Linked DNA regions of Arabidopsis thaliana. The protein of the gene in region 2 interacts with the protein of the main gene of each other region in a pairwise test. Each region holds a gene or a part of one and is shown on either strand. Other genes may lie near its edges.

Region 1 (4,367 bases), on a different chromosome or scaffold from region 2:
CTTTCTTTAGTAACACCAACACACAAAACTGCATCTGCTTCTATCTTTAGGGTTTTTGCTTCCCTTGAGATTAACTGCCTCTGCTATACTTTAATAACTTAAGACAAAACCGAGTAACAACGAGCTTTTTACGTTGCTCCTATAGCTAATAATAACACCTAGCTGCAAAACTTATGGGCACGCGATATTAAGAGGAGTGGGAGTAGTTGTTGCGATATGATCAACGAAAGCATACTTGTCAATGGTGGTTCCAATGAGACCAAGATCGATCTCCACATCTGAGAAATCATAGTCTGGAAGTTCGCTTGGACCGTCACATTCAAGACCAATGATGTCCAGATCATCTATGCCACAGTAATCATCCAACATTTGGTTGTTGTTCTCTTCTGTTAAGAGAAAATCAAGCTCACAAGCATTTGGGATGAATGAGTCATCAATGAAGCAACCCATTTCAGGAATCTGTAGATCTGCAAAGTCGAAATCAAAACTCGCTTTCTTCGATTCACCAGCTTGTTGATCAAGAGTCGAATCAACTAGCTTCTTGTCAAGATCAATGCTTGACCCTGAGGCTGAGATCATAGAACCAGACTCATTTGACAAAACAGAGGAAGCAGCAGAAGTGGCTGCAGCCAGAGCATCAAACTCAAGCTTCTTGGTAGCATAAGCATCAGCTGCTTGTTCAAGCGTCTCGTAAGTACCCAACCAAGTTCTTACTTTGGTGATTGGATGTCTAATCTCAGCAGCCCATTTACCCCATTTCCTCTGCCTAACACCAACAGGCTTCGAGACAGTAGTAGAAGAACGTCCAACGACCGGAGATGCTTTGCTGCGTAAAACCTTTTTGCTACAAGCTGAGATTTTAGTCTTGCTTACACCATTATTGTTACTCTCCTGACAATATGAGCTTTCAGATTCTGCTTGAGTAGCAGCTTGAGCGAAAGGAAGATCGATCTCACAGACATAACGTTTCCTTCTCTGACTCCTTTCTTCTTCTTCGCTTGATGAGTAGTCAGTAGCGTAAGGATCATTCACAACGAAACGGAGTTTTCTCATAGTCTTCAAATCTTCAGATAAACCTGGGAGGTGATTTAGCTGAAAAGGTTTCTTCTTCATGGGTTTTTTGTTGGGTTTATTGGTTTGAATAGAAGAGCGTTTCTTTCGTTCAGCCATTTTATCGAACACTTGGTGTGCGAAATTCAAAACCAAACCCCCTTAAACCCTAAAAAACCTCTCAAAATTCCCAGAAAAGCCTCAAAATGAACTCTCTCAAGAACAAGAAAAGTCCTTTACCCCAGAACAAGTCCTGTTTCAATAACCAGCAAAAACACAACAACCCACTTCAGATTCGAACAGAGAAACTATAAAAACCATTCAAAGTAACAAACTTTAGCAAACCCAGTTACCTTTTAGGTCTTAAACGCATGGAAATCGATGAAACTGTGAGAAATCAATCACTGAGAGAGCTAGTAGATGTAGCTTGATGAACGAGAAAAACAGAGCAGAAAGCGATTAAGAAGACGAAGAAGGAAGAAGAAGAGAGAGAAGCGTAGAGTCAAAGACAGAGCTCCGGTTAAACAAATTATTCCGGCGACTTCAAAGATCCTTTTCTCTCTCACACTCCTCTCAGCTCTTCGAGCTTCCCAAAAGTGAAAAAGAAAAGTGAGAAGATAAAAGATTCAAAAAGAGGAAGAAGAAGAAGAAGAAGAAGATAAAGTAAAGAATCAAAACGAATCGAAAACAGATGACAAATCTATGGCCAAGATTTTTCTGCCTCTCTATTACCAAAGACAAAACTTTTAATTTATGTCGGAAAAATAAAAGAAAGTTATGTAACTGGTAAATTTAAGAGACCGAGGAATTTAAAAAGATGTTAAAAATCTTTTAAGAAACGATTGTTCAAACACAGATCTCAATAAAAATTTATTAAAGCATTAAAAGAAAGAAAAAAAACGAAGATGGGAAATTAAATTCGTTTTTTATTAGCATTTGGTTTTTTTTTTTTGGACAGTTTTATTTCATTTTTTCGGTTAAGATTGGTGAAAATAGTTTTACAATAGGGATAAGGAAAATGTTTTTTAAATTATCACTTTATCATTTTCGTTGGTTTAAAGTATGAATTTTGGATCTTGTGAATTAAATTCTTAATTTGATGTTGATTTTCAATTTAATTACAAATTCTCGTTGACTAAGCCAATTGAGACACAATTTTTTTTCCCGGTATCGTCAATCGACCTAAAGATGAAAGATTACTTTGAATTCGAATAAGAAGAGAAATTCCAAAGAAGATAAGAGATTCTGAAGAAAAATAGAGAAAAACTCAAAAATTTTAATTAGAAAATTTTTTAACGATGTGTCTTAATTGGCTTAGTTAACGAGAATTCGTGATTAAATTAAACGTCAACATAAAATTGAGGATTTAAATCACCAAATCGAGAGTTTATGTTTTAAACCAACGAAAATGGTAAAGTGATGATTTAAATGACATTTTTCCCTTTTACAATATGGTAATAAAACATACTATTTTTGGAATTATATTATGGATATATGGTAAATAAATTTAGTTTGTGAAAGGAATAATACTTTGTATCGAACAAGTTATTATTGTATTGTAATACATTATTCATGAAATTTACTTCTCACTGTTACTGCACTGTGGGTCTTTTAGCTAAGTGAAGTAATAGAATTTTATTTTATTAATAGTATTAAACTACAATAACATATATATTCGTTTTTTAATTAAAAATAAATAAAAGAGAGTGACTAGTAACTACTCCTTCATTGTTTAGTGAATTATTCATATTATTTGATGTGATGTATACTTGTATTCTATAGTAATTTAACTCATTCTCCCAAATTGACTCTTAAACAAAAACATCAATTATAGATTCTGATAATTTTTTCGGCATTCAACAAAAATATCTTACAAAAGATCGACGAGTATAATTCAATACCATTAATTAACATAACAATTTGTGAGGTTAATTAATTACATTAGAGGTAGTTTACTTTGCAGTATCTTGATTGTGCTAAAGAAGAACAATTTCGAACGTGGAGGATTGTTCCATCCCCACATTTGCTAGTTGCTACCAACCGAGGGACTTTTCATCATAATTTACAAGTCTTCTTCCCATCTTTAGTGGGTATAAATAAATACAATTTTTTTTTTTTTTTTTTTTGTGCACCAAATAAATACAATGTTAATGAGAATAATTCACAACTCAAAACGTTTTTGAATAACTCTGTTTTATTTTTTCCACACTCAAGCATTTCATGAAGTCAATGGTCTCTTTTTGGGTCAACTAAGTCAGTGCTTAAGTTAAGTTACTCTGTAATATTCCGTAACATAACATGATCATGATCACTCTAATAACTTGCAAAATCATTTAAGTTCGGTCCGATTTGAACCGATCAATTTAAACTTGTATTTTAGAGGTTAAGCTCATCCATTATTTGATATCTTACACCATGAACGAACATTTGGTTAACCTAAAGAACACAAAATAAAATAAAAATTTCTAACATTTTTTGCTCGATTCTATTTGGTTTCGGTCCTAATAGTTTTGAAACAACTTAAAACAGGTCGCTTCCAGATTAATCCAAAAAGTTAACATCTCTAGATTAAAATTTATATATCAACTTCAAATTTTATGATTTTTTTGTAAGGTTCATTACGATTCGATCGATTAAAAATTTAAAACATTTTTTACTAAAGAAATACCAAAAAAATATTGAAAGTGTCATTTTCTTTCAATTCCATAAAACGAAAGGAACTCCTAATTTCCAAAATTTTGTTTATTCCACAGCTTTTTTAACATATCGCTCGCATTGCCACATTGGTCCAGACCTACTCCCCTTTTTATTTACAAGATTGCCACTTTAAAGAGTTGGATAATTAATTTAGTTTAAACTAAACATTTTTCTGCAACAATATAGTAGGAAAACAAAAAGCTAGAAGAAAAAAGAAAACAGTGAACGCACGCCTGAATGCATGTGATTGCCTACCCTACGTGAAGAAAAGACGATGCAATTACAGAAGTAAGAAAAACATTTTCTCCACCAATATACAATGACCCTTACTAATTATTACTATTTCAACAAAACGTTTCCTACGTAAGGAAGGCAACAGATTCATTTGATGTCATTTTTCAACGACAATAGACAAAAAAAAAGTAAAGCAATAATAAAGTAAAGTTGTACACTACATATATACTTTTTAAAAATTGTTGAAACACAAAATGTGTGCAAATTTATAACAGTGTATACAAAATGGATGTTCAACTACGTCAAAGACTATTCATGAAGAAAAACGGTCGTGACAAAATTTAGACAAATTAACAATATATTAAATAAAAACTTTTAAAATAATT
Region 2 (4,367 bases):
ATATCTTCATTGATAGGTTCAGCAAAAGGAAGAGTATCTTTCTCGCTAGCTTTAAAGGAGTCATTACAGTAAACTTCTTCCCCAAGAAACTCATTTTCTGTGGCTTCCATGCCAAGAAACTCTTTTTTGGTAACTTTTAAACTCTGTCCATGCCTTGTGTCATTGCTAGGATCTGCAGAGGAAGAAAGTGCTTCTTGTTATTCAATTTTATTTCAATATTTTTGTTTCTTGAAAGAATAAAGCATAAACAACTTACTAAGTTTGTGTAGATCTTCACTGTTCAAGGGTAACAACTGGAGCACAGGTGTTTCTTCGTTATGGACTAATTTGAATTTGAGCAAGTCTCCTGGTTTCTTCCCATTAGCCACACAGAATCTTCTCCAACCTCTTATCGTTAAAAACCGGCCTGTATGTGCCTCATGTTTCACATCTATCGTCCATGATTCTCCCTCTTCATTCATTAGACACATCTGAAATTTCTTCAACAAACCATTTGACATAATGAACGTCTTCGGAAGATACTGCAGTCAAGTACAGTCACCATGAATATCATTAAAACACCTCTCAGTCAAATCAAAATCAATATATGTAAGTCAGGAGTATCATAACCAGTCTATCTCGGCTTAGATTTGAAGCCGTGACAGTGGCTACAAAAGAAGAAAGGTCCGGTGAAGAAGGAGCTGCTTCTGTTTTTCGAATCTTGTGTCTTGGAAGACTCTCTGTATCAATTATAGAATCTGATTGAGATTTTTCTCAATAACCAACGGATTATGAAAATTAACTTACGAAGTTTGTCTAAATCTTCAATGGTCATAGGGAACAACTGTATCATAGGTGTTTCTTCATTTTTGACCAATTTGAATGCAAAAACGTCTCCAGGTTTCTTCCCATTAGCAATACAGAAACTTCTCCAGCCTCTTCTCATGTAAAACCGGCCGTAATTATATGCCTCGCGTCTCAAGTCTATCTTCCATGATTCTCCTTCTTCATTCATTAACACAATCTGATATTTGTTCATCAGACCATTTGACAATGCAAACTCTTTCGGAATATACTGCAAATGCCGCCACAAGCCAAGTTAGATAGAGTTATCAAGAATATACAATAACATAAAAATTACTGTAATGAGTAATATGGAAGTAACATACCAATGTATCGCGCTTTAGATTCGAACCCGTGACAGTGGCCACAAAACAAGAATCTAGTGAATTGTCTGGTGCAGACTCAGCTTCTCTCTTTAGACTCTTTTTCTTACTTGAAACATTCTCCGTACCACAAAGTTTCTCTGTTGATAGATTAAGTAATATTCTTAGACTCATTCTAAATGTGCTAATGATATTTAATATGAAACTAAGGTTACCAATTTTATCCTCTTCAAGGGTATCTTCTCCGTATTGAATCTCACAGCAACTTGGTCCTAAAGCTGTGACATGGAACACTAACTCTCCTTCTTGTCTGAAAACAACAATGTCACCAACTCGGAGATCATGTGCGATTGTGAAATCTTCCCAACCATTAGAGAGTCTCCGGCCGTCTATCTTCACTTTCCATGTCATCTCCGATGCATCTGATCTGAGCTCAGCCGTTTTTCCTACGTTAGTTCCCACTAAGTACTTCAAGAAGAACGCCACAGGAATGTCCTGAAACAGCATGCTAGATGAGTTACAAACAGAAGTAACTTAACTGGTCGGAGAGAGTATAGAGAAACAGAGTACCAGGTGGTTGGTGAAACCGGGAAGAAGTGGTTGGAAGAATTGTGGGTTGATCGGAGAATAGAGAAGTGGATTAGCCATATTCAGACGTTGAATTTTTTTAAGTTTTTCTTCTTCTGAGCGGAGAGAAGATGAACTAACAACTTTGTATCCCTTACTTCTGTAATGTAAAAAAATAACCTTTCTCAGCTTTCTATACAAAACGTCAAAGAAACTTTCTCAGCTTTTTCTATAAAGCAATGTTAAAAAAGACCTTTATCAGCTTTTTCCAAAGACTATATATTGTTTTCGAAAAAAACAAGTTTTGACTGAGAATAGTGTTGGGATTGAACATAAAGACTCTGATTGGTTATGGAAAATATTCATCAAATAAACTTAGCAAATATCAATGAACGAGAAAAATAAATCTTGAGAAGACATTGGTCTTTAACCAAAAGAAAGAAAAAAAGAAGAAGAAAAAGATCTGAAACTAAATATGCTTAATTCAACACGTAGGTACCATAATAATGTAAAAATAGTTTACAAGAAATTAAATCTTAGGAAGTGAAAACATTCATGTTTGCTATCAAAATATCATATGGTTTTGACAGTAAATTAGTTAGTTACGTTGTGGATTCGTTTTTGTCAAAAAGAATAAGAATTCGATTCTTTGTTTGCATTTACGTTTATATTTTTCAAAAAGTGAGTTTATTGTAAAACTGAAAAACGTTTTGTATTTTTAACAATGTAAAAGAATATTTTAAGTACACGCAAAAAAGGCTTAAAATAATAGTGTGTTCAATCTTCAATGTAAGCAACATTTCTCTTGAAACCACAAACAAAAATCACGAGAGGGAACTATTTGTACATCAGTATTCAGTAGCACTGTAGGAATACGTATCACGTGCATCTAGGCTATCTCTTTATTCCCCACAAAGCAAAAAAAGAAAAAATCCAAACTAATCACTACAAAGTACAAAGCGCAACGCACCAAAATATCCATCTTTTCTTTTGTTTGTGAACAGTTCCATCTATTGTCTCCTTTTCCAGTGAAAACCAATATGTATTGGGTCTGAATGGAAGAACAGAGGAGTTACGGATATAAAGCAGAGCAGGACAAACACAATTGTATCTTAATAAACCAATATATCCAGTTATTCACCTGTACTTGGTTTTGTCCTACTACAATAATAGATTTGCATTTGAATGCATTTAAGTATATTAAAAAGTGGTTAAACTAACACTATTACTACAATTATCCAAATTATTTTCGTTTCTAATATTTATTCTTTCTATTTTCTACTTCTATGTTAAAATGTCTTAATTGTCAAACTATGAAATCCACATCTCACTTTGCGCTGAGACCACATCTTTTTTTCAGCATAAACGTGAAAATTTCTTTAGATTATATTAACTGCATATAAGTATAACCCAAAAAAGAAAAAGTATAACCCTAATTCCAGATAAGTTAATATGCTACTAGTCGTTAGCACATAAGAATTTATAGCATTAGGTTTAATGTCTTGCATAACACGTAATAAAATCTACCTCTATTGTAACTTTGATAGTCTCTCTTAAATGGGTCATTTGTTTCTGAAAATCCTTATTTACAAAATAAAGTACAATTCTTCATTCAAAAGAAAAAAAAAGTACAATAGTTTGGTATAATAATAGCATATGTTTTTTTGTTAAATTAAAGACTGTCTTGGTCATGAACTTGAGACATATTTAATTGTGTCTTCCTCTTGACAGGCATTTGTTGACTTGATGAACACGGACTCATCTCTACCTTATCGAGGTACGAAACCTGGTCTTTCGCTAGGAAACAATATGTGAAATTTCCGAGTGCCATAACACACACAAGTAACACGCCAACAAACAGAAACAAGAAACTGTCTATGTCAAGCTGCCTAGAGGTGAAAGAGGGATTTGGATCTGGATTAGTAATTGGATCAGGACAGCTTTGTTCTTTCTTCTTGAACCATGCACGCTCGAGCTCCATTGCCTTTGGAGACTCTGCTACTTTTAAGATGGCCCTTGAAACATCGGCCACTAGAGGTGATCCGATTGGAAAAACCTGCGAAAAAGGACTTATGATCTCTCACCATTTAATGCAATTTTCACATAAGTTTTGATATAGGAACTTACAAAGCCGAATCCATCAACATTGAAGGGTTCTTCAACCATTTTGTATGTGTTGCAAAACTGTCCAAGAAAGAGTCTCAAGTAAGGTATTTCCAAGAAAGCTCCAGAGACACCACCTTTTTTTGGTCCTTTACTTAGAAGCTCATCACATTCTTCTGCAGTATCAAAGGGCACAAGGCTAGATTGCGGGAAACCTCTTTCTTTAAGCTTTCCAAGGATGAAGGATGTTCGCTGATAACCCACTGTTTCTCCTTTTTCAAGCAAACTACTCATGCTGGTTATTGTTGGATTTAATTTCTGTGATGTCAAAAGCGATGCCAAACTCGCTGTGTAACTCTGGGTTAACACGAGAACGAGAAAGTACCATGCGATAACCAGGGCCCTCGCCCAAAAGCTAAATACTCTTTCTCCTGCAGACAGGGAATCGAGAATAAGAATCAAGCAAGGTGCATGATATATAGGAACATATATATGCTGACATGTAGAGAGGGGAGATTAAATGTACTTGGAGCAAAAACCATGGTAGAGAAG

The links. The genes of interacting proteins can lie anywhere in the genome.
Region 1: the proteins of AT2G24700 (region 2) and CRF11 interact in a two-hybrid assay, tested with the Arabidopsis thaliana proteins (one large-scale study listed by BioGRID).

What each region holds. Positions count from the first base shown.
Region 1 is NC_003074.8:9,472,855-9,477,221, reverse strand, and holds the start of CRF11 (Integrase-type DNA-binding superfamily protein), read right to left. Parts: upstream 1,811-4,367; 5' UTR 1,404-1,810; exon of another isoform or gene 1,304-1,403; 5' UTR 1,171-1,303; coding exon 172-1,170; 3' UTR 1-171.
Region 2 is NC_003071.7:10,513,496-10,517,862, forward strand, and holds the start of AT2G24700 (Transcriptional factor B3 family protein), read right to left. Parts: upstream 1,917-4,367; 5' UTR 1,794-1,916; coding exon 1,716-1,793; intron 1,641-1,715; coding exon 1,361-1,640; intron 1,286-1,360; coding exon 1,149-1,285; intron 1,055-1,148; coding exon 787-1,054; intron 720-786; coding exon 610-719; intron 522-609; coding exon 257-521; intron 173-256; coding exon 1-172. Other genes in the region: GLR2.3 (glutamate receptor 2.3), read right to left, coding at 3,385-3,768, 3,840-4,246, 4,342-4,367.